Linked DNA regions of Lepisosteus oculatus. The protein of the gene in region 4 binds, or shares a complex with, the protein of the main gene of each other region. Links are inferred from orthologs where the notes say so. Each region holds a gene or a part of one and is shown on either strand. Other genes may lie near its edges. The genes, in order: ranbp2, nup85, cetn3 and nup107.

Evidence for each region.
Region 1: nup107 (region 4) and ranbp2 share a complex: the UniProt entries of both Homo sapiens proteins name them as parts of the nuclear pore complex. The link is inferred for Lepisosteus oculatus from reciprocal best matches to the Homo sapiens genes NUP107 and RANBP2.
Region 2: nup107 (region 4) and nup85 share a complex: the UniProt entries of both Homo sapiens proteins name them as parts of the nuclear pore complex. The link is inferred for Lepisosteus oculatus from reciprocal best matches to the Homo sapiens genes NUP107 and NUP85.
Region 3: nup107 (region 4) and cetn3 share a complex: the UniProt entries of both Homo sapiens proteins name them as parts of the nuclear pore complex. The link is inferred for Lepisosteus oculatus from reciprocal best matches to the Homo sapiens genes NUP107 and CETN3.

Annotation. Positions count from the first base shown.
Region 1 is NC_090708.1:24,300,362-24,307,753, reverse strand, and holds the start of ranbp2 (E3 SUMO-protein ligase RanBP2), read left to right. Parts: upstream 1-4,382; 5' UTR 4,383-4,594; coding exon 4,595-4,666; intron 4,667-5,897; coding exon 5,898-5,965; intron 5,966-6,050; coding exon 6,051-6,162; intron 6,163-6,802; coding exon 6,803-6,955; intron 6,956-7,392. UniProt on the Homo sapiens protein: E3 SUMO-protein ligase which facilitates SUMO1 and SUMO2 conjugation by UBE2I. Involved in transport factor (Ran-GTP, karyopherin)-mediated protein import via the F-G repeat-containing domain which acts as a docking site for substrates.
Region 2 is NC_090704.1:44,419,948-44,427,632, reverse strand, and holds the start of nup85 (nuclear pore complex protein Nup85), read left to right. Parts: upstream 1-4,672; 5' UTR 4,673-4,686; coding exon 4,687-4,794; exon of another isoform or gene 4,795-4,825; coding exon of another isoform or gene 4,826-4,858; intron 4,859-5,577; coding exon 5,578-5,671; intron 5,672-5,769; coding exon 5,770-5,932; intron 5,933-6,476; coding exon 6,477-6,547; intron 6,548-6,689; coding exon 6,690-6,733; intron 6,734-7,040; coding exon 7,041-7,110; intron 7,111-7,685. Other genes in the region: small ubiquitin-related modifier 2, read right to left, coding at 562-693, 2,909-2,929. UniProt on the Homo sapiens protein: Essential component of the nuclear pore complex (NPC) that seems to be required for NPC assembly and maintenance. As part of the NPC Nup107-160 subcomplex plays a role in RNA export and in tethering NUP96/Nup98 and NUP153 to the nucleus.
Region 3 is NC_090698.1:72,656,575-72,663,709, reverse strand, and holds the start of cetn3 (centrin-3), read left to right. Parts: upstream 1-4,134; 5' UTR 4,135-4,252; coding exon 4,253-4,269; intron 4,270-5,217; coding exon 5,218-5,353; intron 5,354-5,911; coding exon 5,912-6,026; intron 6,027-6,416; coding exon 6,417-6,608; intron 6,609-7,135. UniProt on the Homo sapiens protein: Plays a fundamental role in microtubule-organizing center structure and function. As a component of the TREX-2 complex, involved in the export of mRNAs to the cytoplasm through the nuclear pores.
Region 4 is NC_090702.1:23,597,631-23,605,306, forward strand, and holds the start of nup107 (nuclear pore complex protein Nup107), read right to left. Parts: upstream 3,013-7,676; 5' UTR 2,733-3,012; coding exon 2,725-2,732; intron 770-2,724; coding exon 681-769; intron 1-680. UniProt on the Homo sapiens protein: Plays a role in the nuclear pore complex (NPC) assembly and/or maintenance. Required for the assembly of peripheral proteins into the NPC. May anchor NUP62 to the NPC. Involved in nephrogenesis.

The DNA.
Region 1 (7,392 bases), on a different chromosome or scaffold from region 4:
AACCATTTACAAAAGAACATTTTAACATCTCGTATTCAGATGAGTTACCAGCAGTTAATCCTGAACGTGCTAAAGAGATTTCATGAACGTCAGAAAGATGAATAAGGCTTCTTAAACGCTGCTTTTCTTTTATTAAAACCTCACAGTAAACATGAATTCATGGTACACATTCCATGATAAAATTTGACACTAAAAATGGGTGCAAATAATTGAGACATGAAATTCAAATGTGTACTGTATGAATTACTTTTTGAAGGTCAAGAATCTGAGTCGCAATGTCTTGGACTGTCATTCAACATGTTGCATGTTCTCACAGTTTGTGATGCCACACTTTTGTTTAGAAGAGCTTCTGTGCCAGTCTTGAAATTCTGCTTGTAACCATCACTGATCACTCCAATAAATATTGTACTTTATCTTTATCTGTATTATTCAAGCAGCCAGCTCCAGTATTAAATAAAATGTATATTCTCAATCTCTTGTACAGTGAAGTCATTGCAGATTGTGGTGTTCTAGTATGAGCCGCATGTGTTTGGACATTTGGTGTAACACGTCTGCCTCAGATTGTGCTGGGTGATGCACTGGAGATGTCCAAGTTGCAGTCAGATGCTACTGCCTTTTTCCATGCAGATGGAATTATTTGTTTTTCCATTAGGCCCATTTGGGTTAGCACCATTCATTCCATTCACTCCTGCTCTTTAAGGAACACATGGAGGGATCTGTAAGATTCAATGAATGGCAACTGCCTGGATAATCGGACTCTCGAGCTGAAGACAACCTGACTCTGAAATCTACACATTCACTACGACTCAATCTCCTGACATAGCCCCAAGGGATTGAATGCCATTTACATCCATTCAGCATTTAATGAACTTTATAAAATGTGCAATATTGAGTTTCAATAAAAAAGAACACTTGTGTAAAGTTGAGAAATAAAAATTGTATATCATTTACTTGAAGGGTTAAATGCCTGTAGCCTCTGATCCATGTTCATAATTCCCTAATGTGTTATGTGCATTACTGCACTGTAACAGTATAATGTGATTGTTCTTTTTTTAGTTTGCTGAAATCGTAATTTCCATTGGAATCTATACTCCCAATGTGTTTCGATTGGAGGGATAAATCAGAGGCAAAAGGCATAACTAGTGAAAACCTGAGATCTTCTCGATTCTGGGGGACTTCGTCAGGTGGTCTCTCCCCAGGGGTCTACTTCGTCCGCTGCAGATGTGTAGCCCCTCCGCACAGCAGATCTGGGGAGGAGTATGAAATACCGTCAACAGCTAAATCAAGGGAAGGATTTAGGGAGGTCAGATTATATAAGACCTAACTGGAGTTCACACTTATTTTCTTGGAAACCAAGTAGTCAGGTCCTCAAGTTTATGTTATCTGAAGGATGTCATCATCTACAGAAGTGCTGCCTATCACCAAAATGGGACACTGGTTTTGAGCTGATCCAGAGAAAGAGCTCCACCTACTGGCTCATCACCACTACTGACAGCAGAAACATGATATTCCTCAGTCTCGCTAATCTAGTAATTAATTGACCCTATAAGTAGTAGAAGTCTTAGTAACAATATTTGTCCTCAGCAGAGCAAACGGGTGTGGTTTGTTCTGGACCAGCCAGTTTTCTCATCTGCATTCCACTTGATTCAACATGACAGTTCATTTGCTATCTCAGTTTGCTCCAAATTCACACTCTTTACGAGTCTGTAGCCCTTAAATTAAGTCACCAAGAAAACCTCCAGATTTGTAGCTTTACAGGATATGAAGTGAGTGTCACTACATTAAACGTATAGACAGGACAAAACCAAAGAGATTCGGCTCTTTTCATTTCTCAGTGTAGAATGTTTGAATAACATTTCCATACTGGAGGAAAAGTTGTGAAGAATAAGTGTCCTACTAATTATTACTACACAGTTGCAATTTGTAATCATCTCTGAAAATGAGAGGTAGGGTTGAAAACTAAATGATTAATAAGTGAATGGGCATAGACTACAGAGATAAATGGTCCTTAAAATTAAATGTATCTATAGAGAGTGGTGCAGTGTTTAGCATTGCTGCCTCATGGCACTGGGGCTCTGAGTTCAGTTCTGCATCTGGGGTGCTATCTCTGTGGAATTCTCTAATTGTTCACATGGATTTCCTCCAGATGCTCTGCTTTCCCCCAACAGTCCAAACATATATTGGTAGGTTTATTGCCTTCTGGGAAAAGTGGCTCTGGTGTGAACGTGTGTTTGTGTCTGTGTGTGCCCAGCAATGGACTGGAGTCCTGCCCAGAGTGTACCCTGCCTTGCACCTGGTGCTTGCTGGGATAGGTTCCCGTAAGTAGAATATCCACTGAAAATGGATGGATCATGAGTATGGATATCCATCCATGGATGGATCATGGATAGATGTGTATATAGAAAGGTTTGTTAAAATGTCTTGGGCTTATTCACTTCTATTGCCAGCAGGAAGAATGATTTAAGCACTAATTCACAGCTCTTTTTTGTAGAGGCTTCAAAATAATTTATATTTGAGAAATATCTTAAGTTGACATTTCCTTTGAAGAACTTAGGGAGAAACTGAATTAGGTGGAAAAAATGTGTCACTTTGCCCCATATAGCCCATTTCTACTCCCCAATAGCACCACAGCTCCAGAACAAAACACTGTGGCGTCTAGGAAGAAAATCTTAAAGAGCAGGAGCATAGAGATCAAACATTTTTAAATCGATGGCTACTGCTGTTGATATCTATGTGAGATTTCTTCCTCTAGAGTAATTCGAGTGTTCACTATGTTTAAAACTCTGCAGTGGTAAGACTGCCTATACAGTACATAGGCCAAGAGACAGTGTTGTACTTTCTGATGAGTTACTACGGTGATCTTATAGCAGGTCAATACTACATTAAGCCATTTCTTTCATTTTCATACAACAATTATTCATTTATTATGACTTATTGGATTAACATACCTATTTTCCTTAGTTTCCACAATTATTGACAACAGAATCCTCTGAAAACTCCTCAGTTTTTAATTCAATCTGAAATGTATTTTCTAAGGTACATCACAATGATTTGATTTTAGAAGCATAAAGTGTGGATTCCTGACTACATGTGCATAGTTTGCTGCACATGGTTAAACTGTGGTGTACCAATTCTTGGGATTCTTGAATAATTCTACTTTCCTCCAGCACTGTGTCATTTATCTCTTAAAACCATGTACTGTGACACACTGTCATACAGCACCTCCAACTTTAAAATTAGAAACACTGCCACATTGTGGTCGATCGATTTCCCAATCGACATGAAAGAACTCAGAGTCCAAAAGTTGATTAAATGTTTATTTTACTTTGTATTGTTTTGGGTTAGTGATTTCAGTACAGATTGCCTTAAGAAGAACAATCTGAGAACCAACACTAGAAAAGGAGAAAAAAAATCTGCTTCCAGATTGCAGGAAACAATGAGAAAGTTGATTGTAACGATGCGATTCTGATATTCTACACACAACTGCATTTTCTAGAAATAGTTCTTAAGAATTTTATTCAGAATTGCACCACTTGAAATTTAAGCACAGAGGTCATAAGAGTTACTGTGCTGTTTTTTGGTTTAAACACAATAAATGTTGTAATTTTCTTTTACAAAGGTGGCATTCAAGTTTGTTGAACTAAATGTTGGTCACTGTGCCCTGAAATGTTACCCTTAAAAATATTATATATTTTAAATCGAGTGGAGGGAAATGGCTGCTAAAATTCATAACGCTTGGTCTAGGAAAATATTATTCCAATACTACTGTACTAAATCTCCCAGGCACTGTCCGTCTGCTTTTTATTAATATAGTTGTTTATAAAGGGTTTGCATTACTAATGTATTATATGGATAATTTATCACATGCAGATGATCGCGCATTCTGTCGTGCAGTTATCTAGAAATAAATAGATGTGGTCGTTATAATGACAGTATGTACTGCGACTCTTTCAGATACTTTTGTATTTTAAGAGACATTTATAAGTAGGAAGTTGAACTAAACACAGGAGTTCAATGAACGAAGTAGTCGCACATCCACCACTCAAAAAGTCGTATAAACTTCAGAAACATGCAAAAAATGGATTCAACACCTAAAGCAATAACAAAATAAAGCAGATAAGCGTTTGAAAGCTCCTAGAGGGAAAATATTAGCGATAGCGCTGAATTTGTGAGGGGAAAAAAATCCGAATAGCTTTGAAAACGAAAATAAAACCAATCTTTGCCCCGCCCTTTCAATAAATGGAAAGACTGCGTTTACTTTGATAACACCGATAATAATGAAAGCCAGTGACATCACAGTGTCCCCACAGCGCTACGCCATAATATCTTTCTAGTCTACGCCACCTCCCTCCACTTAATTTTAAAAAGTAATCGCTAGGCCCTCAGGAAGTACGTCTCCTCCTGTCAGCGACTGACGCCAGAGCTGGGCGGGCGTGTAGAGGGCTCCTTCAGCCATTTACTGTCTACGAGTGGTACAGTAGCCGCACTCGTAGGGGAGTTTGAACTAAGAAGAAACCGGGCTGGTTACTTTTTCGTATTTTTCAGCGATTAAATCTCTTGGGTGTATGCACGTTTTATTTATTCGTAACACAACATGCGGCGCAGCAAGGCCGACGTGGATCGCTACGTGTCCTCGGTGCAGAGTTCCTCTCCGTCCCTAAAGGAGGTGAGTGGAAGCCGGCATGGAGTCGCCGCCGGAGTGCCGCGGAGAACAGAGCAGGCCTCGGCGGGCTCAGTAATCAATTTGTCGGGCACGGGATCGAGGGGTGCTCTGTGTTGTGGACGCTGGACACATACGAAGTTTGAACTCGGTGTTGGGCACTGAAAACATGCTTTTGGGAGCCACGCGTAGTTCCTGGTCGAGCCCCCCTTTGCCTAGGAAAGCGCGGCGGGCCCGAATGTTTTGAAAGTGGGAGCGGAGCGCCTTAGAATCGCCGGTCCTGCTTCCTCTGCAGATCATGAGCTGCTTGTTAACTACAGTTTCAGGTGTTTCGTAATCGTTGCTTATGTTTGTGGTACTATTTTTATAGTTGACATGTACTTTACACAAGATCTTAAACTTAATTTTTGGAGGGCCTCGTCGTTTGGTTTGGTGCACTGTTACAACTACTTTCAAATGAAAACTAAATAACTGTGATGCTTCTAGAATTCTAACCAATTTCCAGAGTGTTTCATACGTGAATATTTTGGGTAATCAACTTTTTGAAAGAAAACAATCTGTATGTCTTATAACTTAGAAAACAATTTGGTTTGACTTCTTAGAATGGAAGTAGCAACCAGCTGAAATAAGACTGGATGAAAATAACATTCAAAAGGTTTAAGTACAGTACTCGACCTCACCATTTCGATTAGAAGTGTGTTTGGTAATATAATATTTGATTCTAATTGTGACATTTTGTAAAACAAATGTGAAACCACATTAGAAAAAGGGAACAGGCTGTTCTGCTTTTGATTGAGATATAATCACGATTTTTGCCTCAGGGGAAAATCAAACGTTTATAGATCTTTCCTCCCACCATTTTTATCATGGTTTGCGACACACCTATTCCTGGTGTGAAGTAAGAAATTGTTCTTTGTGCCACCTGGAACATTTTGTCCAGTAATGTATGTCTTGACTTTTTTCCTTAGAGCTTGTAAAGCTCTGTACTTTATAGATTGCTTTGTTAAAACTTTTAAAGAGTGCTGATCTAAATTTCAGTTTAAGTATCCAGTACTGTTTGTATATTTGTATAATTCAGTGATGCTTTTAAGTGACAACATTGTAATCTTACAGTCTGCTTGCAAGTTGATGATTTATAAATGTGATTCGATTTTCAGTCCCTGTTGCCTTTAATAAGCATTCGCTGCAGACAGTCCTTTGTCAGCTGGCTCACTGGTTCTGTTTTTTCTTCTTTCAGAAGCCTGTAAAGGGATTTCTGTTTGCTAAGCTGTACTTCGATGTGAAGGAATATGAACTCGCGAAAAGGTAAGCAGAAACCTTCAGGTTCTGCCATTGCGCCTGGCTGAGGAAGAAGATTTGTATTTAAAATTGTATTTATTTATTTTCTTAGACATGTCTCAGCCTACTTAACTGTGCAGGAGAGGGATCCTAAAGCACACAAGTTTTTGGGACAGCTCTATGAAGAAGAAGGGGACATCGAGAAGGCGGTGGGATGCTACAAGGTCTGAACTGCGCTTTTATCAAGAAATCTCCCCCCCCCCCCCATTTTGCTTTCCAGGCAAAATGAATGAAGAATGAAAGGGACCGTTTTAACCCAGGATATGTTGTAGTGTGATGTCAGCCCTACTGCAAGTCCAGTCACTGGGTCCATAAAAATACCTTAAGCATTGATCAATATCAGTGTTTCATTTATTTATTTTATGGACTTCATTGGGTTAAGCCGGTTTGTTCTGCATACTTATTACATTCAGATATTTAAGGGAAAAGGTATGGAAGGTTAGGTTAAATTGCTTTATGCAACTGTCTGCAAGACTTTGGTCGTTGTGTCCAACAGGTTAAAATGCACAGATCACTGTTGTAAGGAGGTCAGCCCGACAGACATACCACTTAGTAAAAGCCCTTGTATGGCTGTCGGAGTTTGCTGAGGACGTTCGCTTTCCAGATTTATCAACTGGGCAACCCTGAAATGGATGTATGAACAGTCTGATTATGTTAATGTTGAAGGTGTAAGTAGTGCAACGCACTGAACGTTTCAGAAGCTGCAGTAGCGTGACTTGCATCGGGGCCGGCAGAGACTTGTGTTGGAGATGTGTGCAGTTCTGGAGTTCAGTGGCCACGTATTTTATGTTTTGTTCAATGCAGCGGTCTGTGGACCTAAATCCTGCGCAGAAAGACTTGGTCCTCAAGGTGGCACAGCTGCTGTGCAGTAAGGATGAGCCTGATGGCAGAGCGGAGTACTGGGTGGAGAAGGCAGCCAAGTTCTTCCCTGGGAGCCCTGCAGTCTACAACCTGAAGGTTAGTGAACACAGGCGGAGCTCTGCTGGGAAGGAGGCTGCTCATGGCTTAGCTACATATGTAAGCTGGCAGTTCTTAGAATTTGATTCGTGCAAAGGGAGCCATTCAAGCCACAGATCAAGTTCCAGTTAGGCTGGTATTTGCTCATAATGAAACCAGAGCAGAGAATGTTCTGCACAAGTAAGTCACTGTAAAAAGTCTTAAGATTTTAAATCCAGCTTCTAATCACGCAGGTTGCTCTACAGTGGCTGACAGTCAGAAATCGCTTAATTGGTTCTAAGGACATCGGACTTTCACCAATCTGTCACTTGACAAGTCCAGAAACAACTTAATCAGCTCCTGGTGACAGAGTGCTAGTTGTAGAAAATGCAACGGTTGACAAATGGTTGTATTTATCAAAAGTTACATCTCCAAAGTATGTCTTCAAGTGGGTACTG
Region 2 (7,685 bases), on a different chromosome or scaffold from region 4:
TCACCAGATATCAGGCTACCCTGTAGTTGCCCATTTAAACAACATTATTCACACCAAGCCATCCCAAAATAAACGCATTTTACTTAATAGAGCAATGCTGCTAGGGAAATAATCCTAAACCAGCCTGACAAGCCTCTGAGGAGTTTGGATTAAAAGCATCATTCCGCAGAGTAAACCTGCACACCTAGAACTAAGAAGCAGGGGGTGTTTTACATTAAACACCAGTAACACTTAGCCGTCTATCTGAACAGCTTCTAGTGCCTTAGGCATCTTACATAAAAAAACATTCAAAGAAGAATAAAAATCCCTAAATGTTTCCCACATGTATGTAACTTGTCACTCATAATAATGTTACCGTTGCATTTGAAAATGAAGGAATACATACCATTTACAAAATATTCTATTAAGCTCTGAAGCATTTTAAGCCCCTGGGGAAACTGAAACCCCAAGGATGTCAGGGACCAATGTCTGATGTGCAGTAATGGCATTAAAAGCTGAGTGCCTACCTCCAACCCAAGGCTGTGCATGTCCCCACCCCTACACGCTGCTCCCCAGCCATACCTGTCTCTCGCAGTAAGCTTTCATGAGTTTGCTGAGTGGCGTGTGTCTCTTGATCTTAAACTGCACCACGGACCCATCCTGCCCCGCCACCTTCAGGTTAATGTGGTCGTTGTTTTCCGTTTTCACTCCTTCCTAAAGGACAGAAGCCACAAGACACAATAAGAACCTGCTCATTCTGTGGGAAGCCTCTGCCTGGTGAGTCTTCACATTATTATCCTTCTTCTTCCCTGGTTGGCATTCTCCATATACTCAAGCAGCAAACAGGGCAAATTACTCAAGTCTACAGATCTACCAACAGAGGGAAAAAAAGGAGATGCTGCAGCTCAACTTGGGTTTTTTTAGTGAAAAACATAAAATCAGGATAAGACTTCTTCAAGAGTCTTCCTTCTTCACATTCTTCATCTGGAATCTGAGACTGGATTCCCGTTGAGGGAGTCTGGTAAGAATGCATTAATGAAGAACACTGTGATGAATCTTCTCCAGGTTGTTTATACTGCTTCTAGATCAATGAAAAACTCCTGCCAACTAGAAATGCTTCTATATCAAATCCCCACCTTAGCATGTACCACATATTTCGTTCTCAGGGATAGATATTCTTTAACAAGAGGGACTGCAGAATACATCTCGTTCAAGCCACTACAGAAACGCTCACACAAAATGAAAATAAATGGGTTGTGTATTCGCGTCACATCACCCATGTCTTCTTTGTAAAAAAAAAGTTTAAGACCTACACATACACTGCACAGGTGATTGACACGGAAGGCCAACCACAAAACCTAAACCTTTCGGTGCAAGGTGTCCTCAGCTAAAACCACCCCTGAGAGTTGGGAGCTTGAACTAAGAAGAAGGGATTAAGGAATCGGTAAGTCTGGCTCAGCGAGCATAAACTAGATGTTGTTCAGAAAAGGCCAAACGATGGTTGCAAGGCCTGTAAGAAGCTTTAAGCCACGCACGGCTTGCTTTAATTCTACAGGAACATTTCGCAGTTCCCCCCCAGATTCCTATCGGTGCTCCTGTGCTTACTCCTCTCCTTCCACTGCGTGGCACTGTCGCCAGCAAAAACCCCGAGTCCCATGGAATAAGACAGCAGTCACTTTAAAGGTAAGGCTGTGAAGCAAACTGTCCCCACAGCTTATCTTCCACAACACGGAAACCCACAAAACTTTTTTTTCCCAGCGCTTAAACAACAATAAGCTTACATTTAGCGGTTTTAACTCTACAGAGGGTACGTAAAAGTGCACAGTATAAAAGTATAAAATCCACATATTTCTTGGATTAGAGACTGAAAAACCACATGTTTTGCAGTTAGCACATAAATGTTATGAATTAGAATACTTACTCCTGTTCACAACTTATTATAAGTCTACAATGTCTACTTATTATTTGAAACCACTATCTTACTCATGCGATTTTGTGCGTCTGAGAAAAGTACTGTAAACATTAACGAATGACTTCAGTTGTCCAGGTTAAAAAAAAACACACACCTTTGTGTCACCGGTCGGCATGCTCGTGTCCATGAAAATATCTCCACGCTCGTGGGAAAGGTCTGACAACTACACTTCCCACCCCACCCCCCCACAGACAGCGAGACCAACTGCGCACGGAAGAGCTACACTTTGGGCATCTGGTGAGCACCATCATCTGCTCAGGTAGAGAGCGGAGGTGGGACAGATGATGTATCCGTAAGGGTCTTCTTTATTTTATTTTTTTTTTACCACTGCCGGCTTCCGACCCGTGTGTTGTGGAGGAGGTCGCCCTTCCTTAGAAGCGGCTCAAAACTTCGGGTGGAAAGTGGAAGGTGCGTCCCCCGTCCCCCCAACCCACCCCGTCTCTCCCGACGCCAGACATCCCAACCCGGCCTCTCCCGAAGCGAACGGGGAGGGGAAAAAGACGAGCCTGACACCACCGGCGGCGGTGGTCCGGGGGAGAGAGGGGGCATCAGCGGGCAGCCCGGGCCGCCGGGGTGTTTTGGAAGACATCAACTCCCAATGAGCGCGCAGCCCGACACACGCGAGGTCCACACTGGGCCCAAAACAAGGAGAGCAGACCGGGCCCCCTCGCCCCCAGGACGGGCCCCCGGCCGCCCTCCGCGGCGTGCCGCAGAAGCGGGGCACTCCTCGATTTTAGAAAACGACTACTAAAAAGAAGAAAAAAAAAGTTAAGATCTTTTCTGATTGCCCGCCTCTGCAGGCTCGCTCACATCCCTTCCGGTGCTAGACCAGCGGTAGATTTCGCCGATCGCTTGGCTCACAAGTCAGCGGAGATACCGATGAATCGATCTCACTTAGGAAATAACGCGTATGAGGAAGACGCGGGCATTTCGTAATCAGCTTTTTCTTTTGCTCACCTTGGGTTTTTCGTCCGCCATGGCTTTCCTCTCCGCGTCTCTCTACGCCGCCACACAAAGAGTAAGTCGGGAGCGCGCACGTCCTCGCCGCCGACTCATTAAACCGGCATGGCGTGCGCGGGCACGAGACATTGCTCGTCCGCGGCGCCCGCTGCTCACTGGACGGAGGCGGTCACGAGGGCCGGCTCCCCGTGCTCGCCTAGGCGGGAGTGACGTCATCCACGTTATTGGCCGCCGCGCCGCCGCTCGTGCACGCGCATGGCGAAAAAATTATGTTCATCTTTTTTAATTTGTTTTGTTTTACACGGATAGAGAGAAGCATAAAGGAATCCCACTCGACCGAAAAGTAACATTTTTCTCATGCCCTGGCTTCTGGGATAGACATTTAAAACAACATTCATAATTATAGTGTATTCTGGGAATGTAGGTGACCAAAGGACAATTTCTGGAAAATTCTGATGGAGCAGGCTGTGGAAGCCATCTTGTTTTCCTGTGTGGTGGGTTGTTTTTCACCAGTTACAAATTATCCACAGTACAAAGACACAGTCAAACCCTTTTTTTCAGTTAAAAGAGAGACATTTTCCAAGAAGGTGTTAATAATTAGCTTTACTCTTCGCGGGACAAAGTAATTATTTTGTAAATGCCAAAATTCCAATTCCATGACATAATTTCATGAATTTGCCATTTAAAATAAACATTACCCTGGGTTGTGCTTTCCAACATTTCAGGCATATGAAATGCAAGATTTACTGGGACACTGGGAAATTGACCCCCAGTTGCTCATGGTTCACCACAGGGGCAGGCCCTATCTTCATCATACAATAGTAATTACCTATATCTTATAACTACACCACTTACCCTTACATTTAGATTCTTAAAGTAAGAAAAGCAAACTTGCAAAACTCTTTTGAAGCTTATATGCATATATCACATAATTTATAGTGGTTCCTCCATGCTCTTTGACACTTAAACGTTGAACACTGATTATTATAGCCACACTATACAGTGTGTCAACAGTAGTAATAACAACAGAATTTCTGTTTCATGTAGTTCTAAATGTTTGATGCTGTATCTGGTGTGTTTATTGAGAAGGATTTGTGGTTGGTCGTTTTTCTAAATAAACATGAATTGTTAAAGGTATTATGTCATTGTATGACATCTTTGAATAAGTAGTTTTAAAGCCTTTCTCTTTCTCCCCTCTCGAAGGGGCAGGTTTATTACCAGCTAGACCCAAAATTATATGAAAAAGTGTGCTTTGTGCCACATGGACATCCAAATAAATAATTATTTAAGAAGTAAGCGACCATATCCTTTGACCTTTTAAACATCAGCATTAGAACCACAATCAGTAGTCTTCGAACGTAAACCCAGTAGTTAATTGAATGCGTCCATTTGTATTTTCATCAAACATTAAAATGATCATTTATATTTAAAAAAAAATCAATCTCCAGTTTAAAAATACCCCCCCACTATGTTTCTGTTCCAGTTCACATGTGAAAAGAGAGACCAGTTCCTTTCGTTTGAGAAGCAGGTTCCCTCCAGCACAGATGATCACAAAAATATATATTTTTTAAAAAGTATGTATTTGAAACAAATATGTCCACGTCTAAAATACTGCCGTATTTCGTGGTGAATAAATCACACAAAAACTCAAATGCCTAAACGCGGTTTTAAAAGATATGAAACCCAGGAACAACCATCAGCTGCGTTCAACACTTTTGCTTTCACAATATTTTACGCAGGCATCTGAGTAGACAGTCCGGCTCAAGCCCGGGCACATGGGGTCCTGTCTCGTTTTTTTTACAAAAATCTCAATGCGCTTAGTTTCTTACACATGCGAATTTTTTTTTGATTCACTTATTGCGGAAGGAAACATCTTTGCAAAGGTTTATTTTTTTTTTTCATTTTCGGTAGGAAATGGAGGAGGTGGATGTCGAGCCGACCACAACAGTATGTTCTCTCTCTGGTTTATAATTTGTAACTCGGGGGGGGAACCGTATAGAAACACTGTAGAGGGATGTCTGTTCAGTTTTGTAGTCGCACATTTGCCTAAAGAAAGCGGGTGTTTGCTAGCTCCTGAAATGAAGAAGAGGCGGCTGTAATAAAGACTACGAGTGGTCTTCGCCTCTGTTTGAATTTGAGGCTGAATTTGTCACGTTTCCAGTTGTGCCAGCGCTTTGACGCGATCCCGGTGAAATTAGGATATTTGGTCATTCAGAACTTCATGAAACATTATTGCACAGCATTTCACGACCTCTTTTTATTGTTCGGAGATGGTTTCAGGGGATCGCTTTTCTTGCAGCTAGGAGTAAATGTTAAGGGTTTTTTTTTTTTGGTCTGCCGGGCAGGAGGAGGGTCGTGAGTTCAAATCCCGGACGTTTCGCCGCTGTCGTCTTCTCTCAGTCAGGCAGCTCACTGCCGGTGCCGGTGCTCACTGCGAACGAGAACATGTTGTTCAGGACCCCTTTCTGATTTGACAAAAGGATTCATTTAACTTAATTATAAAAAAAAAACGTAATGCACAGCTCAGTCCTGAACAAGACCACTTGATTAGAGAAAATAAAAGGTAGCACAGAGACGCGTTTAGTGTCCTGTCTGACTCCTGGTTTCGATTTAAAGTATATTATTATTATTATTATTATTATTATTATTATTATTTTATTTTGCAGCTCATCCCAGGTGTTGACTTCAGGCAGAAGCACTTGGGCTTTGTGTGGGGTCCCAGGGACATACTGACCTATGAAACTCAGTACAAGACAGCAGGTGAGGCTTCCCTGCCGTTACACGGTGCCTGTTTCTGGGTGATTCTTTTTTTGCTACAGCTCAAACGGAGACTTGTTCTTCCTTGATCGCCCCGTCAGGAGCCCCGGCTGCGTTTGCGAGCTGCCCGTGGATCCACATGGTCAGGAAGGATGAAGACATCTACTCTCCCATCCTGCGCAAGCTCTTCAACGAGTCCCACCACATCTTCGTCCAGCTGCAGAAGAGCACAGACGACACCGCCAGCAAGGCCAAGAAGCCTCGGTACACGGCCTCCGTCACCATGGAGATCCGTAGAAAGATGGCTTACTGATTTTGAGTATCTGACGGGGGTGTGGGTGGGGGCTCTGTTCTTTTGTCGTAGTAACGTTTCTCATCCATGTGGGGTAAAATCCATGCAGGATGAATCTGGTCATTGTGACGAGTAATGTACCATTTCAAGTTTTTTTTTTTTTTAAATGCTGTGGTCAAATAAGATAAGATTTTTATTGTCCCCTGTGTGAATTTTTTTATGGACACCTAGCACTCCTGTACATTTAAATAGAATGCAAACAAAAGAAAAGAAAAACATTGCACATTATTCTATTACATAAAAATAAGAAAAACATTGCACATCACTCTGTTGCACATGTACAGTATAACGCATAACAACATGTAACATTTATAACACATCCCAAAACTCAAGGGGTTGTAAGAGTGACTTCTCTGAGAATGAGAATTAAAAATGAGATTAAACGACTTCTCTGCACAATTCACAGCAAACCCAGACACGATGCAGGATGCTTGAACTGTCCTCCTGTATTTGCAGGTTTGTCAGCATTAGTAAGAACTACCGATCAGTGATCCGGGCCTGTATGGAGGAGCTCCAACAGAATGCAGGTACCAAGAGTTTCACTCCTGTCATGCAGAACATGTCTCATGGCTGTGACAGCAGTATCTGCAGGGTGATTTTTTAAAAACTATCCTTTTTCGGTTTCTTAGCACTGCCATTAATTTGTTGTGATTTTTCTGTTCCCTGCAGTTTCTGCACGTGACGCGGCTCTAGCAACACAGTATGGCAATCAGGTTGGGAAAGCTCTTTTTGAAGCTTCTTGCTTCATACGCATTGATGTAACTGAATTGATTGCATGCAAACTGTGGAAAAGCATAGCTTCTGACACTGCTGCAATTCTCATCTTCCCTTGGGCTTCAGCAGAGTTGCTGGGGAGGAGGTAAAAAAATCACGTCAAGAGACGTTTTGTGGAAACTCAAAAGCTTTCAATTAGGAAACTGTAAAACTCATAAGGCTGAAAGTAACTAAAGATGGACAGAGTGGTCTTTTTACCCCTTGACGTTCTCCAGACAAACTAAAGATCTGTGCATATCCATACAGGTGTCAATTCTGTTGGCAGTGGAGCTCATCTGGAATCTATGTGAAGTCTTGTTCATCGATGCTGCCCCAGGTTTGTGTTTTATGCATCCAACTTTACAGACTGTATTCATGAACATGAGCTCGTGAACATTAGTTTTTGGGTAAAGGTTGATAGTGTTTCTGTGAAGGTAAACCTGGCCCCTTCCAGTTTCTGTAAAGTATTGTATGACATTCCCATCTTTCCTAGTGATTACAATTAATTACATTTATTAATTTGGATGGTGATTTTTTTACAAAGGGTTTATTAATTGCATCTGGTCAAGATGGGAAGCTTGCGGTTTTAACAGTAGTTCCTGTATGCTCAGTCTCCCAGCAGCGTGAATGTAGTGGAACAAATAAAGGTTAATTCCATGTTGAAACGTAGTAAGAAAGATGAGACAAAGAAAGGGGAGAAAAAGTGTCCAAACAAAGAGAGACTTGGGGGAGAGGTGTGAAAAGATTAAATCTGTAAATGGATGGAGAGGTTCTAAAAATAATTTTTCATTTGATCGAAGGGGGAAGGTGAGATGAAAGGTTAATCTTGGCTTCTGGAAAGCCACTGTACACACTGACCTTCAGCCAGATGAAAATGGTTGTGTAGGCTCACCTTGCCCTGCCTGTGTGTTG
Region 3 (7,135 bases), on a different chromosome or scaffold from region 4:
GTTAACATTTTAACATGATTGTGGCTTGATACTGAATTGGCATTTTACTGGTCGAAAGTTCAATGCAACTCAAATAGTTGCAAAGACAAGTAGCGGCTTTGCTTTCTCCTACATCTTTAATCGGAGGTTTTCCTACCACACTTGAGCTTCAGTGGCATTTGGCCATGTTCCCTTCTCTCTGCATTTAACATTTTCCATTACTTAACCTTACAAAACACGGAAAGCTTGGAATTTGTACAAGCGTTGATGGGTTCCTGTGGTCAGGTGTTGCCACAACCTATCAGACATCAGAGAGACGAGGAAACCCAACACCCAAGACATTTTCTGCCCCTGGGTTGGGTTGGGCTTTGTTTCAGCCTTTCCTTCACTCGCAGTCCAGCTTTAACAAGTAGACACTTGGTTTGGCACTAAATATGGCAGTTCTGAAAATGCAGACACGTACTCCAGACCTGGACTATGCGACTGGCTGCTCAGTCTTCACACTTGCTCTTGTTAGCCAGTTCTCATCTCTTCTTTCCTTTTTGTAATTTTTCTATCGATTGATTGTCCTTGCTGATTGGAATAAACTCTTGGCCAGGTCATCCCCGTAGATGAGAATCTGTTCTCAACTATAATGTCTGGTTAGAGGATCATTGTTTAAGGAAATGGCATCAGGAAATGGTAGACATATTTCGGGGCTGTGTTCTTTGTACCACAATAATGCTGGCATTACATCATCACCTATTTCATGTGCCATAGCTTCTGGAAATATCTCTTTTTTTGCTTTACGTATAAGTGTTACCTACACTACATGTAAAGCAAAAACCTACCAACTACACTACCTAACTACTGACCATCATTTCCAATTCAAGTAAAATAAAACCAATTGAATCGTAGGATTGGCAGTCTATAAAGGTTTGTTTTGTTCACACTTTGTCACCTCCCCAACATTCAATTCAGGTAATAACTTATTAATCTCAATACAAAAAAACACATACTCTTCCATGGCAGAAAGTTCAGTGAAGCTAATGTGTGGTAGAGAGTTGAATGTTGACAAAGTATTTTAAACACTATGTTGCAATGGAACATGCTCCGAAATCTGATAATGTGAACTTTACAAGAATTGTGTTTTATGTCCAATAGAAATTGCACATTAAATGAAATATTGATTGTGAAAATAATCTGCTGAACAAGCATTGTGCTTCCATTTCAATTGCAAGAAGAGACAATATGAATATGTTAATTATATTAGGCCTTGAATTGTAAATTGTGTGATGTGTTTGGGGAAATGTGAATTAAAAGAAAGCCAGTAACCTAAAACGTGTTCTGGAATAGGGAGATTCTTGGTTATACCATATGATATGAGTGAAATTTCCCATGTTTTGAACTTGTGAAATGAACTGCTTTTTATTCCACTGTAATAAAAGATGATAAGAAAAATGTTCCTCCATTGTTATTTTTTATGTGGCTACCAAAGTATAATCCCATTATATTGTGGGCATTGGGTAGAAAAGGGACCAAGGTTAACTGCATTCATTCATATTCAGAGTGACAGAGAAGCAGGAATTACCAGAAGCAACAGGAATGGTATGCTTTCATTCTTTCTGATACAGCTTGTTCCTTTGAAGCCTACTGTACGTACCTAGTTGAAGTACCTTGGATTTGCACAGCGCTTGTAATGTTGAGGAGTCCCAGAGAGCCGTGCGGGCAGCCGAGGGCAAACATTGAAGTGTAGCGCCCCCTGGTGTTGATGGGTGGCAGCTCGTTTTGCACCTGTTGCAAGGCAGACGAGCTGAAGAAGCGACAGTCTGCTGACAGATCCAGTTTAGCTACACAGGAGAAATCTAGAAACAAAAAATGATGTGAAATATAGCCAGGACACCAGGCACGTCAAACCCTCTTTTGTCAGTATGGCAATGGGGTATGAAATAACAGTAGCATACTAGGAGCATAACACAGTGCAACCTTCTTGAGCAGTAATTTCTTGTTTGGTTCAGGGAGGAGTGGCTCCTTACTGGCAAACCACCACCACTTCCAGGAGCAACCCGATTTTCCTCCGATCTGTCCCACCCAGTTAAGCACTGTCCCGGCGAAGCACTTTGCGGCCAGGGTAGTGTCTGTCAAGGCCAGCCTTCAAGCCGCAGCAGGAGAGCCGCTGATGTTATATTTAACGGATATCACTTCGTGTCAATTACAGCGACTGGGAAGTGTCTCTGCAGACTCCTCAGTCAGTAGTGCCAGGGCTTTGGGAGAAATTGCCAAAGCACAGAACAGGGACATTAAAACGAATGAAGCAAGAAACTGCCTTCTTCATGAAGTCACTACACAAACTATAGTACATCAGAAATGTAAATTTAAGAAATAATAGTAATTGTTTAAACTTATATAGCGCTTTTCTGGACACTCCACCACCACTGGACTCCCCTCCACCACCACCAATGTGCAGCATCCACCTGGGTTTCCGTAGTGTAGTGGTCACACGTTCGCCTAACACGCGAAAGGTCCCCGGTTCGAGACCGGGCAGAAACAGCCTCTTAGGGCGGAGCAGTGGCTCTGTGGCTAAGGATCTGCGCCTGTGACCGGAAGGTTGCCGGTTCAAATCCAGTGGCTGGCAGAGGAATCCTACTCCGTTGGGCCCCTGAGCAAGGCCCTTAACCCCAACTGCTCCAGGGGCGCCATACAATGGCAGACCCTGCGCTCTGACCCCAAGCTTCTCTCCCTGTCTCTGTGTCTGTGTCTCCCTGGAGAAAAGCTGGGGTATGCGAAAAGACGAATTCCTAATGCAAGAAATTGTATAGGGCTAATAAAGAAACATTACATTACATTACGGCAGCCATAGTGTGCCAGAATGCTCCCCACACACCGGCTATCAGTGAGGAGGAGAGCAGAGTAATGTAGCCAGTTCAGAGATGGGGATTATTAGGAGGCCGTGATTGGTAAGGGCCAATGGGAAATTTGGCCAGGACACCGGGGTAACACCCCTACTCTTTTCGAGAAATGCCCTGGGATTTTTAATGTCAGGACCTCGGTTTTACGTCTCATCCGAAGGACGGCACCTGTTTACAGTATAGTGTCCCCATCACTATACTGGGGCATTAGGACCCACATGGACCGCAGGGTGAGCGCCCCCTGCTGGCCCCACTAACACCTCTTCCAGCAGCAACCTTAGTTTTTCCCAGGAGGTCTCCCATCCAGGTTAGCTTCGATGTTGGCCATACTTAACTTTGTCATTGAACGAGTCACCACAAAGCAAAGCCATCAGCCATATCACCCTGCAACTCACACCTGCTTAGCTTCAGTGGGTTGCCAGTTGTGAGTTGCAGGGTGATATGGCTGCTGGCTGGTGGCTTTGCTTTGTGGGGATAGGAAGAAGACATGCCTGAAGAAAGCCGAGACGTTGCGTTTCTTTTCAGCAGGGAATAAACCTTTACCTGTTCCTTTGCAGCCTGCGCCTGCTGACGCAGCTCCCTACTTGAACTACTAAAGGGAGTGCTTCTCTCCGGCTGGGAAACATTTTGAGCTTCTGTATGGGGGGCTGCAGTCACCTCAAGAGCCACAAGTGAACTGAGAGAGCCTCAGCAAATCAAATGATTGCCAGAGAAGATATCAGGTGATTTCTGCCTGGGAAAACTGCAATACAGGATGATCAGTGCAGTGTGTTGCTTGTGCAGTGCGTGGATGTATTTGCAAAAGTTGCAAAGCAACGATAAAGAAAAAATTTTTAACTTGAATTCATGATTAAGATCATGATTAACCTTAATTATCTTGTGATAATGTTGTAGCAGTTTTACTCATTAGTCTAACGTATTGCAAAAAAATGACAACGTTAATTTCCATAATTTATTTCAAGTGTCATTTTATGAGTATCTTGCTAGATTTCTTATATAAAAACACCGTGTTGAGACGCTAATCTCGACTAATCAATCAGCACGTTTAAGAAAATACTGCCAGCAAACATCTACTCCAGTCACTCAAACTTCAGTCCCTCCCAAAGGCTCCTGGGTAAAACCGTTGCTTTACAACCAAACCAGACAAGCAAAGCGTCTTGATTGACAAGTAAAGGACCAATCATGATATTAGTTGTCTTCCTTGACACGCCCCCACAACAGTTCCGTCCAATAACAAATCAGTTTGTGGGCGACCGTTGAAGGATTTGTTTGGGTCTTTGTATTGTATTGAAATCGACATCTGGCGGTAGAGATTACAGTTGGTTGAGAGTTATCTGTTTTTTTTTAAGTGTATTTCGGCTTTTAGAGACATTTAAAAATAAACAATGAGTTTGTCGTTGAGGTATGTAAACGTTAACCTTTCAGCTTTTCAGTGTTTGAGTGTGTCTTCCTTTATTTAGCTGGGTAGTGGAAATGTCTTAAAGGCTTCGAGGAGATAAATGTCAGATGTGTTTTTAATTAACAGAATAGTTTTTGCAGTCTTCGGTTATTTAAAACGTTTTGGGTGAGGGATTGTAGAGATAAAGCAAAACTGATTTTCATGGCTCTTGCCAGGGAGTTACGGTAGTGTTTATAAAACTTTGTGGTCGCCTTTATGTTGTCAACAAAGACAGAGAAAAAATTATCATTTATCCATTATCTCACCCACCCATATGTAATGAGGCGGAAAAAAAGATGACGATAATGTGCATTGTTGTATTTGGTATAATATTTAATGTTACCCAAGCAGGCAAATCTGTTCGACAAATGGATTATTTTTTATTTTTGTATAAATATGAGAATGGCTCGGCATTGAAAGACTATAAACAAAACTATATTAACATTGACGATCAGTTACTTTTATATTTCACTTGACAAAAGATATGTTTACCTAGTTGTATACTGTCATTTTAACAGAAAACAACAAAGATAACAGCCATCATCTATCATCCATCTGTCATTTTTAAATGGGTGTCAAGTCTTTAGGTGGATTGAATCTCGTTTCGTAGTATAACAACATGTAATATAAGAATTATGCCTCTGGGCTAATTTTATAGAACACTCTGAACGTTTTTCAGTCTATACACAACAACACAAAAGCCATTACACATACAACCATCTGCATCTGAAAAGGAGAAATTTCTATCTGTTATCCCTAATCACGATGATGCGTTAAAATGGATAAGATTTTCCAGGCAAAGGAATTCTGAGCCCAATTATGGGGTGAATTCAATCAGGATTTAAAGATTCCTGCAGCTCCAACACATGGCTCACCAGATGTCTGCGATTTTTTGCAAATTCCACCTTTCAGGACAGAGATTGCAGCTGACAAAAACAGAAAAAAGAAGAGGAGAGAGCTGACAGAGGAGCAGAAACAAGAAATAAAAGAGGCGTTTGATCTCTTTGATACTGACAAAGACAAAGAAATCGATTATCATGAATTGAAGGTATGTATGGAGCCATGAGAGATGTTCACAGGGAAATGGGCATGGCTTTATGGAAACGGTCTTCTGCACTGTTGGGGGCTTCGCTTTGGTTAAAGGGAAATGATAACTGTAAATTGTTGTGGGGTTTCTTCAACTTTGGAATGAAATTCTGATGTAGACTGGAATTTGCATTATGATCATCCTAGAGAAACTAGAAATATATTTGGAGTTGTCCTAATGCAGTTTTTTTTAAGTTCCCAGAGTTCAGTTGTGCATGGGTAACAAGTATGAAAATGTTTTTCTTTCTAGATGTTTGGATGGAGGTAGAACTTGAATTGAAAAGTGAATTGTACTGAAGGGCTCCTATAGATTTTAATCCTCATTCAGAAAAACAAAGCTTTTGGATAAAAAGAAGGGAATATCTAGTTAGACGCCCCTTTGTTTTTAATTGAGTGAAGCTTAAATGGATCTATGGTACACAGGCAAAGGGTGTGCACCTCTGGCATTAATCCCTAGATCATTAAGATATCCTCAACTATAGGGTAATCTCACTAATGCAGCACCCATTGTTTTTTAAAGGTTGCAATGAGAGCTTTAGGCTTTGATGTGAAGAAAGCAGATGTTTTAAAAATACTCAAAGATTATGACCGCGAAGGAACTGGGAAGATTTCATTTGAAGATTTTAATGAAGTGGGTAAGAAACCTGTCTCTAAAATACCATATGTTTTTTTGCTTTAATATTGTGGCTGTAAAAACAAAGTTCTAATTCTTTAAACACACTAAATACATCCTTTAATTTTCTTTTACAAAATAAAAGTGAATGTTGAACACAGAGCTGTTGTGAAATGAACAAAGTTTCAGATTGAACCACAACTTAGACCTTTCTGGCTGATGCAAATTTGAAGCCAGGGAGTTGTTTTGGGCGAGTCAGAGAATAAGGCTTTAGACAAAAAAATGCTGTCACGTTCTGGGTTAAAATGTAAATGTATAAGCGAGAACGGCTGGGTAGGTTTCCAGTATTACATGTCCACACCTATACTGGACCTGTTTTGTTATTACATGTGGAGATTTGTACTATTTTCAGTAACAGACTGGATGCTGGATCGAGATCCCCAGGAAGAGATTCTGAAGGCCTTCAAGCTTTTTGACGATGACGATTCTGGGAAGATCAGTCTCAGAAACCTGCGCCGTGTGGCCAGAGAACTTGGGGAGAATATGACCGATGAGGAGTTGCGGGCCATGATTGATGAATTTGACAAAGACGGGGATGGGGAAAGTAAGTCAGATCTTTGGTAGAAGATTTTAAATTATCACACCTGTTTCCAAGCAGTGTAGTAATAGGCTGTATTTTGTAAATATTAACACTAATGCTAGTCAGAAGGATAGATTTGTTTTTTAAAAAAGAACATTTTGAAAACAATTGAAGATTTATAATGAAATGCTTTGAGCTCTTCTAAACTTAAAATAATTTTAGCTTCGACTTACACTGAACCTTGATATTTTTTCTTAGAAACGGGATCGGTTTACTTGCTCATCATTGTAAGAACATAGGATCTTTTTGTATCAACTTGACCAGAGCTTCCCACAGCAGGAGACTGATTTTGTTTGTTTTATGTAGAGGCCAGATATTTAAGCTCAGTGATGACTTGAGGTGCATTTTTTTTGAAGTGGTGGTAGGGAGCAGTCATGCTTGAAATAGATCTGTTTTTGAAAATGTGAACATATTTACAATGTCAGTAGCCCTATGAGTGTTTCTCTATATCCAGGTAGGTGTTCTGTAGGATTCATTTACAATAAGTAGAA
Region 4 (7,676 bases):
GAAAGCTTCTCAGCGCCAATGCTCTCATTAAGTTTGGAGATTTTTTTTCCCCAAAAAATGGGGAACATTACTTGTTCACTGTAGCGTGAGTGACTTGCTTTTGTTGGCTGTCATTTTAGCGATGGGTATCGTTATTGTACTGATGTGCCCACAGTCTGTTTTTCCTATATCAGAGCTTCAAATTCACACCGGTAGATCGCACTGGACTGGCAAACGAAAAAGTAGATCTTACATTAAAAGAGGTTGGGCACCCCTGGTCTAAGTCCTTTGGTACCCCCTTACTGATTTGACATCATTCCCTGCCGCTCCTATTTTGGCGTCCCAGACAAACAAATCTGACAAGTCGACGCAGGACGCTTGTGCAGAATGAACACACGGGTCCGAACTATGCTTCCTCTCCCTTCGTGACCCTGTTTTCCGCTCACTAACAAGTTCTCCCATCATGCAGACCATGGACTATCTTGGATTCACACAGCTATCTATTGCTTTTTTTATTCTCACGCAGAACGTCACAAAACAAGCTGGAGACAGCACACTGCTGACTCTGCCTGTATCCTCCACTCTAGGGTCCAGCAGGAAAAGGCAGCATCAGGGTGTTTATTGGCTGTCTCCCCGGGCCCACGCCACGCGTTTCCCGCCAGCTGCGGGACAGGGGGCCGGGGGACACAGGGAAAGGATACAGGCCACCTTCTTCTTCAGGCTCCTCCGGCGGGCCGCGCGCGTCACCTCCAACTCCCGGACCACCGGCGACATCAGGTCATTGCTGCCCCTGAGACAGACAGAAATGTCAGCCCCCCCATAAAAACCAAAAACAAAAACACAAAGGCGTCTTTAAAAACGGACATGAAATATTGCATAACCAGGACTGAGTGCTCTTCCTGACCCCTGGCGGCAGATCCCCTTAGGCAACATGTCCATTTCCAACCGCATGGTGACAGGTGTCTTTTTAAAGAAAAAGAGCTATGGTGTTTTATCTTGCTGTGGGTAACTGTAGACACGAACAGAACTGCATCTCCCGCCATTAAGAGCAGGTTATTGCTAGTTTTCTGCTGACACCGCAGCTCGAGGAGGAGGGTCTTCGCTGGGGACAAGGGAAGGGTGTGATAAATGACGTAAGGACCTTAAGCCGGCCAACAAGGGAAGGTCATTGAGCCCATCCAGCCCATCTGGTAGCTAGTAACTAACTGATCAGAGGATCATCCTGCTGTCTGGGCAGAAGCCACAGCAGGGATCAGCTTTGCAGTATGTTCCAGGCTCCCACAACCCTCGGCGTACAGAAGTGTCTCCTGTTCTCCCCTTACGTTGTGCCCATTGATTCATTTCAGGACTTATTCTGAAGAGGCCCACAAGGCTGACTGTGGCTGTACCTCTGGGGATTCGGAATATCTCAATCAGGTCCCGTCGTAATCTTTTCTGTTCAAGACTAAAAAGATTTTGTTTGTTTAGCATGTCAGAAGAGGACATTAATACCAGGACTGTACTCCCAGAATATAGCTATTTTCTGAACAAAAACTGAGTGCTGTTCTAAAATGAGCTCTTATTTGTCTTATTTAACTATATAACCTATTTGATTTTTGTATTGTTTTCACACATTATAAAGAAATAAAAAGATGCTACCATAAGCACCCAATTATTTCTAAATTTGTGTTTCCCATTTTGTACTTCGTGCTAGTTTCTACAATCTGCACGTAACGCTCTGTCTAGATTAAATGTCATCTGGCAGGTGAGGTGTTTGCCCAGTCTGGAATTCTAAATCTTGAATTTACTTGGCTGCTTTCATAGTGTTTGTTCATCCTCATAAACTGGTAGCATCATATGAACTCGATTGTTCTCCACGCCAGAATCTAGATCACTGATAGAAATCTGGTAGAGCACAGGTCCCATGTCCCTATGGCACACCACTAATAACATCACCCCAGCTAGAGCATTCATCCCTTACCCATGTTTTTATTCACTACCCTTTAAATTTCAACTCCTAATAATAAAACAAACATTTATTTGAATACTTATCACCTACAATGTTAGAATTAACCTTTTAGAATTAACTTTATCGCGTTAATCTGCCGCTGGTGCTCTTGCGTGTTTGGAGAACTCTAGCAAGTGTGTTTGTTAAGCGAGAACTACCCTTTTCCAATCCATGCCGACTATTCCCTAACCTTTTTCTGCCATATGGAGGATCCTCTGCTTTCAACTGTCGTTTCCATAACCCCACATACTGTACATTGACAGTAGTAACCCTGAGCTCCCTAGACATATTTTGTCCAGGCGTTCTCGGTATGCTACTTTCCAACAGCAAAGTACAAAGCTGATGTGCCGTTAAACGCATTATATAGTGGAATTGCTAAATACCTTATATAATGTTCATTCTTTGAATTAACTCTGCCTACATCCTTAAATAAAGAGTCCAATATATCGATCTCAAAATGAAAAAATAACCGTTCAGTTCAATGTGTTTATATTACGGGCGCCTGGAGGGTCGAGTATCGAATCCATTTCCACCCATGTACATCACAAATGTTCACAAATCAACGTCGGGTACCCGTCCCACAGCTCACTGTAACAGGTGAGATGTGTTTCACTAGTGTTGTACCCCGCGGCCTACCCTCCAAAACTGGCATGCCACATGTCTCCACACTGCTACGGTACAGTGCAGAACACGGGTATAATAACCATTAAAAACGTGCCACAACTAGGTCGGGAAGAAGAGAATATGCAACATCTTACCACTCCATCGCTGCAGCATTTATATCGGAATAGTCAGTAGTGGACAGAGCGACTTCCCACTCCTTCTTCCCGCTCGGCCAGGGGGCTTCTGTCGAGTCCAGAAGTAGTCGATTTCTAACTCAAGAACGGTTTACCCTCAAGACCAGGTCTTCCTTCTGAACTTAAGAAAGCATGGATTTATAGAACCACCTTTACTTTTCGTCCTCTATGGTCACAACAACACGGAATATCTCGAAAAAAGCTGCTGTCTGAATATTTTACCGGCGGGCTGGCCGATCGGTGAAATCGGAGAGCGTGTAGGATGCCTCGTCAGTTGTGGTAAAGAGGGTACACCGAGGAGTCCGCTAGGCCTGCAGACATCAGAGCGCCACCTAGTAGTTGAAACACGAACTACTACCCATCCATTTTCGCTCCTCTAGTGTCGTTGAGGGGCTCAGTGAAAAAAAGTAATTTCTTACATTATACTTACAAAATGAGTAATAGTGACAGTAATAATAAAGACCCAGAAACCTTATCCCAAAATTAAATTATTTAAGTCTTTAGTGATAAGTTTTAAGATTAATTAACTAATAAAAGTATTTAATGAGAAAGTGTAATGAGTTTTTTGGACCAGTAGGACTCTTTCCCCGATAGTGATGAACTGTTTAAAACATATGAATAAAAAATAATTCACAATACAAATACGGTTTATTATTTTTTTCCAGCTCAAATTGTTTAACTTCTTTTCGAGGGTTCGCACCAAATGGTGATAAATTCAAGAAACCGTATTCTGCACCTTTCATATCAAGCAATAACCGACTTAGGGAATGTCCCAGGAAGCTTTTTACAATTTGTACGGCATGTAGACTACATCCAGACTTCATGGTCAAAATCTAAATTACTTCGTCTTATAATTAGGTTACTATTCGGTGATCAACAAATGTTAAAAAAGATCCAGAAGCGCTGGGAGAAAGAAGAAAATCCTGTTCTTGGTTTAAGGACAGAGGTGGGTGTCTGATTCAGAATACAGTAGACATTGGGTCCTACTGTAGAGATTCACAGCGGCCTTCTGTTACAATTTGCTAGACCCCTTTCAGGACAGCTGTAGCCTTCAAATCATTGCTCGTGGCAAGTCAGCACGCACACAAGTTACACGATTGCCCCTGAAGTGCTGTCTTTTGGCCACAGTGCTTTAATGTGTAATAAATAATAATAATAATAATAATAATAATAATAATAATAATAATAATAATAATAATAATAATAATTGCTTACACTTATATAGCACTTTTCAGGACACTCCACTCAAAGAGCTTTACAGGTAATGGGGACTCCCCTCCACCACCACCAATGTGCAGCATCCACCTGGATGATATGACGGCAGCCATAGTGTGCCAGAACGCTCACCACACATCAGCTATCAGTGGGGAGGAGAGCAGAGTGATGAAGCCAATTCATAGATGTTATTAGGAGGCCATGATTGGTAAGGGCCAATGGGAAATGTGGCCAGGATGCCGGGGTACACCCCTAGTCTTTTCGAGGAACGCCCTGGGATTTTTAATGACCACAGAGAGTCAGGACATTGGTTTTATGTCTCATCCGAAGGTGTAGTTTTCTGTTTACTTCAGTGCTGAAAAGCATGAGATTCAAGTGTTCCTATTGTCACAATAGGCACGAACGGTATGCAGAGTTATTTCTAAGAAACACATTTGCGCTGGCAAACTGCATGAAGCCCATGCACCACGCTGTCATGTTGTCCTCTGACACACACATGGGGTTTAGTCATTGTATGAAAAGGGTGGGTAGAAAGAAGTAATGTGAAACTTCTGTAGACGAAGCCAGCTCTACAACTAGGCAGGCACAACGTTGCATGTAGAGGCTAACGAAGACAATCTAATAAATAACACACACACACAAATACAAACAGGATTCATTAAAGCTCTGTAAAGTGAAAATAGAGAAGAAAAACACAATGTTCCAGGTGTGGAGTCTTCCTGTGACGCTTCGTGAGTTCTGTGCTTTTTTTTTTACCTTTTCAGCACGGACTCGTTCCTTCGCAGCTCCTAAGCCTATAGCTGCGCACGCATTAACACTACAGTTAACACTAACATGTCCAAAATTGTCTTGTTGTGCACTTGTCATTCCCCCTTTAGGAAGGTACCAATCCATTTTGACATTTCCATTTGGCTAATAATGGATGGGGGGAGGGGGGAGAGGGAATCTTTTTAAACTTCTGTAATGGCAGTTTTGAGAACATTTCTTCAGAAAATAAATATTTAGGCTACACTGAAATGCTGCTTTTCAACTTTTCCTCCACAAAATATTTATTCTGTAAACTTGCATAAGTTTATCTTGAAATGTGATGGTGAACGCGATGGTAAACGATACACTGAATGGCTGCATGAATGTAAGAATGTTTATAAGCGTGTACCACTGTTTAGTAGAAAAGGTTAATACAGTATGTCACTCTTTGTGGGCACTTTACTGAACAAGGCTATTGTCCTAGCTTAAAAACAAAACAAAATAACCCAGACGCAACCCTTTATTCTTCCAACTCAAAATAGAACACGACTCCTACGAGCAAAACCTATTTCAGGATGTCACATTGCGCAAGAAGTGTCCAGACATGCTTTAGCGGCCTTTTTGCTCTCTGTTTAGAGGAGGAGTAACACCCAACCCAGCTCAGCTCGTCTTTGGGACCGATACACAGCAACAGGATCTCCATATCGTCTGAAGAGACACATCTGCTGTCTGCCAGCTATGCAGGCTCCAGCACACAGTTGCAGACTGTTTAATGAATTGATTTGTCAGCTCCGTGTTCTTAAGAGGATTCAGACTGATTAAGATTTTTTTCAATTAGATTCATTTGGCGACTCCAGCATTGCCAGAGGAATGAGATCGGGAAGGGTAATACCTAGGAATAAGCTACACGAAGTATCGAGTAAAGCAGAAATGGACATATGCATAGTTCGCAGTCCCTTATTACCAAACATCCTAGCCACACGCCACAGCAGTGCTGGGTGTATTTGATTTTCGGCTGTGTTTCACATATTTTTATCGTAGCAGCCTTCGGTAAAGGGATTACTAGACAAATCAAAGAGGGGAAAAGTGCTGAGTGCGTTTTGCATTTTTGCAGTCCAATTTTGTTTACCTTACGCATTTCGAGATGCAAAGAAAGATTAAAGAGCGTTAAGAAAAGTAATTCTGTAGGTGCAGAATAAGATACCAATCAACAGAGGGGTGGTTTGTGATTAAAATAATTGAATAGAACTAAAAATAGACCCCCCCATCGAGAAAATAATGAGGAAAAAAGTAAGACACCTATTTACGTAAATCATTCGGTGTAAATCCAGATGGTGTAATTGACTGCAATAGCATCGAACTACATTTCACGGCTGTTATTTTTACATATAAATAAACTTTAATTTCATTTCAGCATAAATTAAATCAATCTAAAACATTATGTATTAGGGAATTCGTGCTTTATAAAGTAATTCTTGGTGGAAATACTCTACTCACTGGAAATGTTCCAAATGATATAAATTGAAAGGAACGTGTTTCCATACCAATACACAACTTTCAGGACTAGAGTCGGAATATTTGGCGAGGGGTTGAAGTAGGCTTCATGTATAATTAATATCTTCGATATTTTTCCCAAATGGGACGATAAAGCTAGCATTGAAAACAGGCGACTGGCTCCTCCCAAAGGCTGAATGACAGAACTGCCAGTTGGGGGCGCTACAACACCCGGAGACACTAAAGAAAGCCACCCGCTGAGTCGTCGAGGAGCGCTTGCTCAGCACGGGAAGAGCAGATCCCCATTGGAACCGAGTTTCAGACACGTCTGAGCTCACACAAGTCATGCGATCGGATTCCTTTCGAATCACATCTCAATACAAATATAACCAAGAGGAGGTTCATAAATTAAAACGGTCATTCACTGTATTTTAACAGCACAAGAACAGTCAAGGAAAAAGGAAAGTTCCTCACAAGGTGAAATGGACACCAATTAGACACTGAAGGGAAATGACTCATCGAATTAAACAAATGTCTCACTCAGGTATTCAGTGAGGAAGAATTTGACCTCATGCCTCAGGCTGAGCAAAGGAAGTTGCATGTTATTCACAAGAAGAGAGTGTAAGCAGTACTTAAAATCTCTGGGGCCTGAATGTATTCGATAAATTGTACTTCTGAAATGAGAGATGTGACTCACGGGCTGGTAACTCTTCCAACAGCCACAGAGGAAAGGGGCAATACCCACTGACTGGAAAATTGCTCACAAGGCCCATCCTGTCATCCCTAAGAAGGTGACTAAACTGAGCTGAATAATTATAGACCAATAAGTCATACTTCTGTTATATGTATGGGTATGGAAACTAAAACTGAACTAGGTGATCTATACAGCAATAGGATTCTAGCTATTAAGCAGTGTAGATTAAGAAAAGATGGGTCATCACACAAGCCCTTTTCATATACTGTATAGCATATTTCAAACATAGGAGGGGTCCCTAAATCCAGCACCAAAGTGCATCTCCCACCTACTTGACAGACGGCAGTTCCACCACACAGATCATTTGAAGAAGAGAGAAAGTGATTCACCATTTGAGTTACAGGGGAACTTTAGGGAGGCTGTCTGTGCAAGTTCAGGGTGCCAAGACAGAAGGGTTTACACTCCTTTTCTGACAAGCTCTGCCACGGATTCTTCAATGACTAGTCAAGACATCAGTTTAATGTCCACAGTACCTTACAGCATTGCGTAGTGTCCCCATACCGGTCTAGAGGAAAGTGTGCCACCTACTGACCCCCACCCCCTGAAGCAGCAATCAGATGTCCCTTGAAGATATTCCATCCCAATATTAAATATGTTCAGAAGTGTTCTGATATAGATTCTGAAATTATAAGTAACAGGCATTCAAGAAAATGTGTGTATTTGGAATAAGAACTAGGCTGTGGATAGAAGAACTGTATCCAGA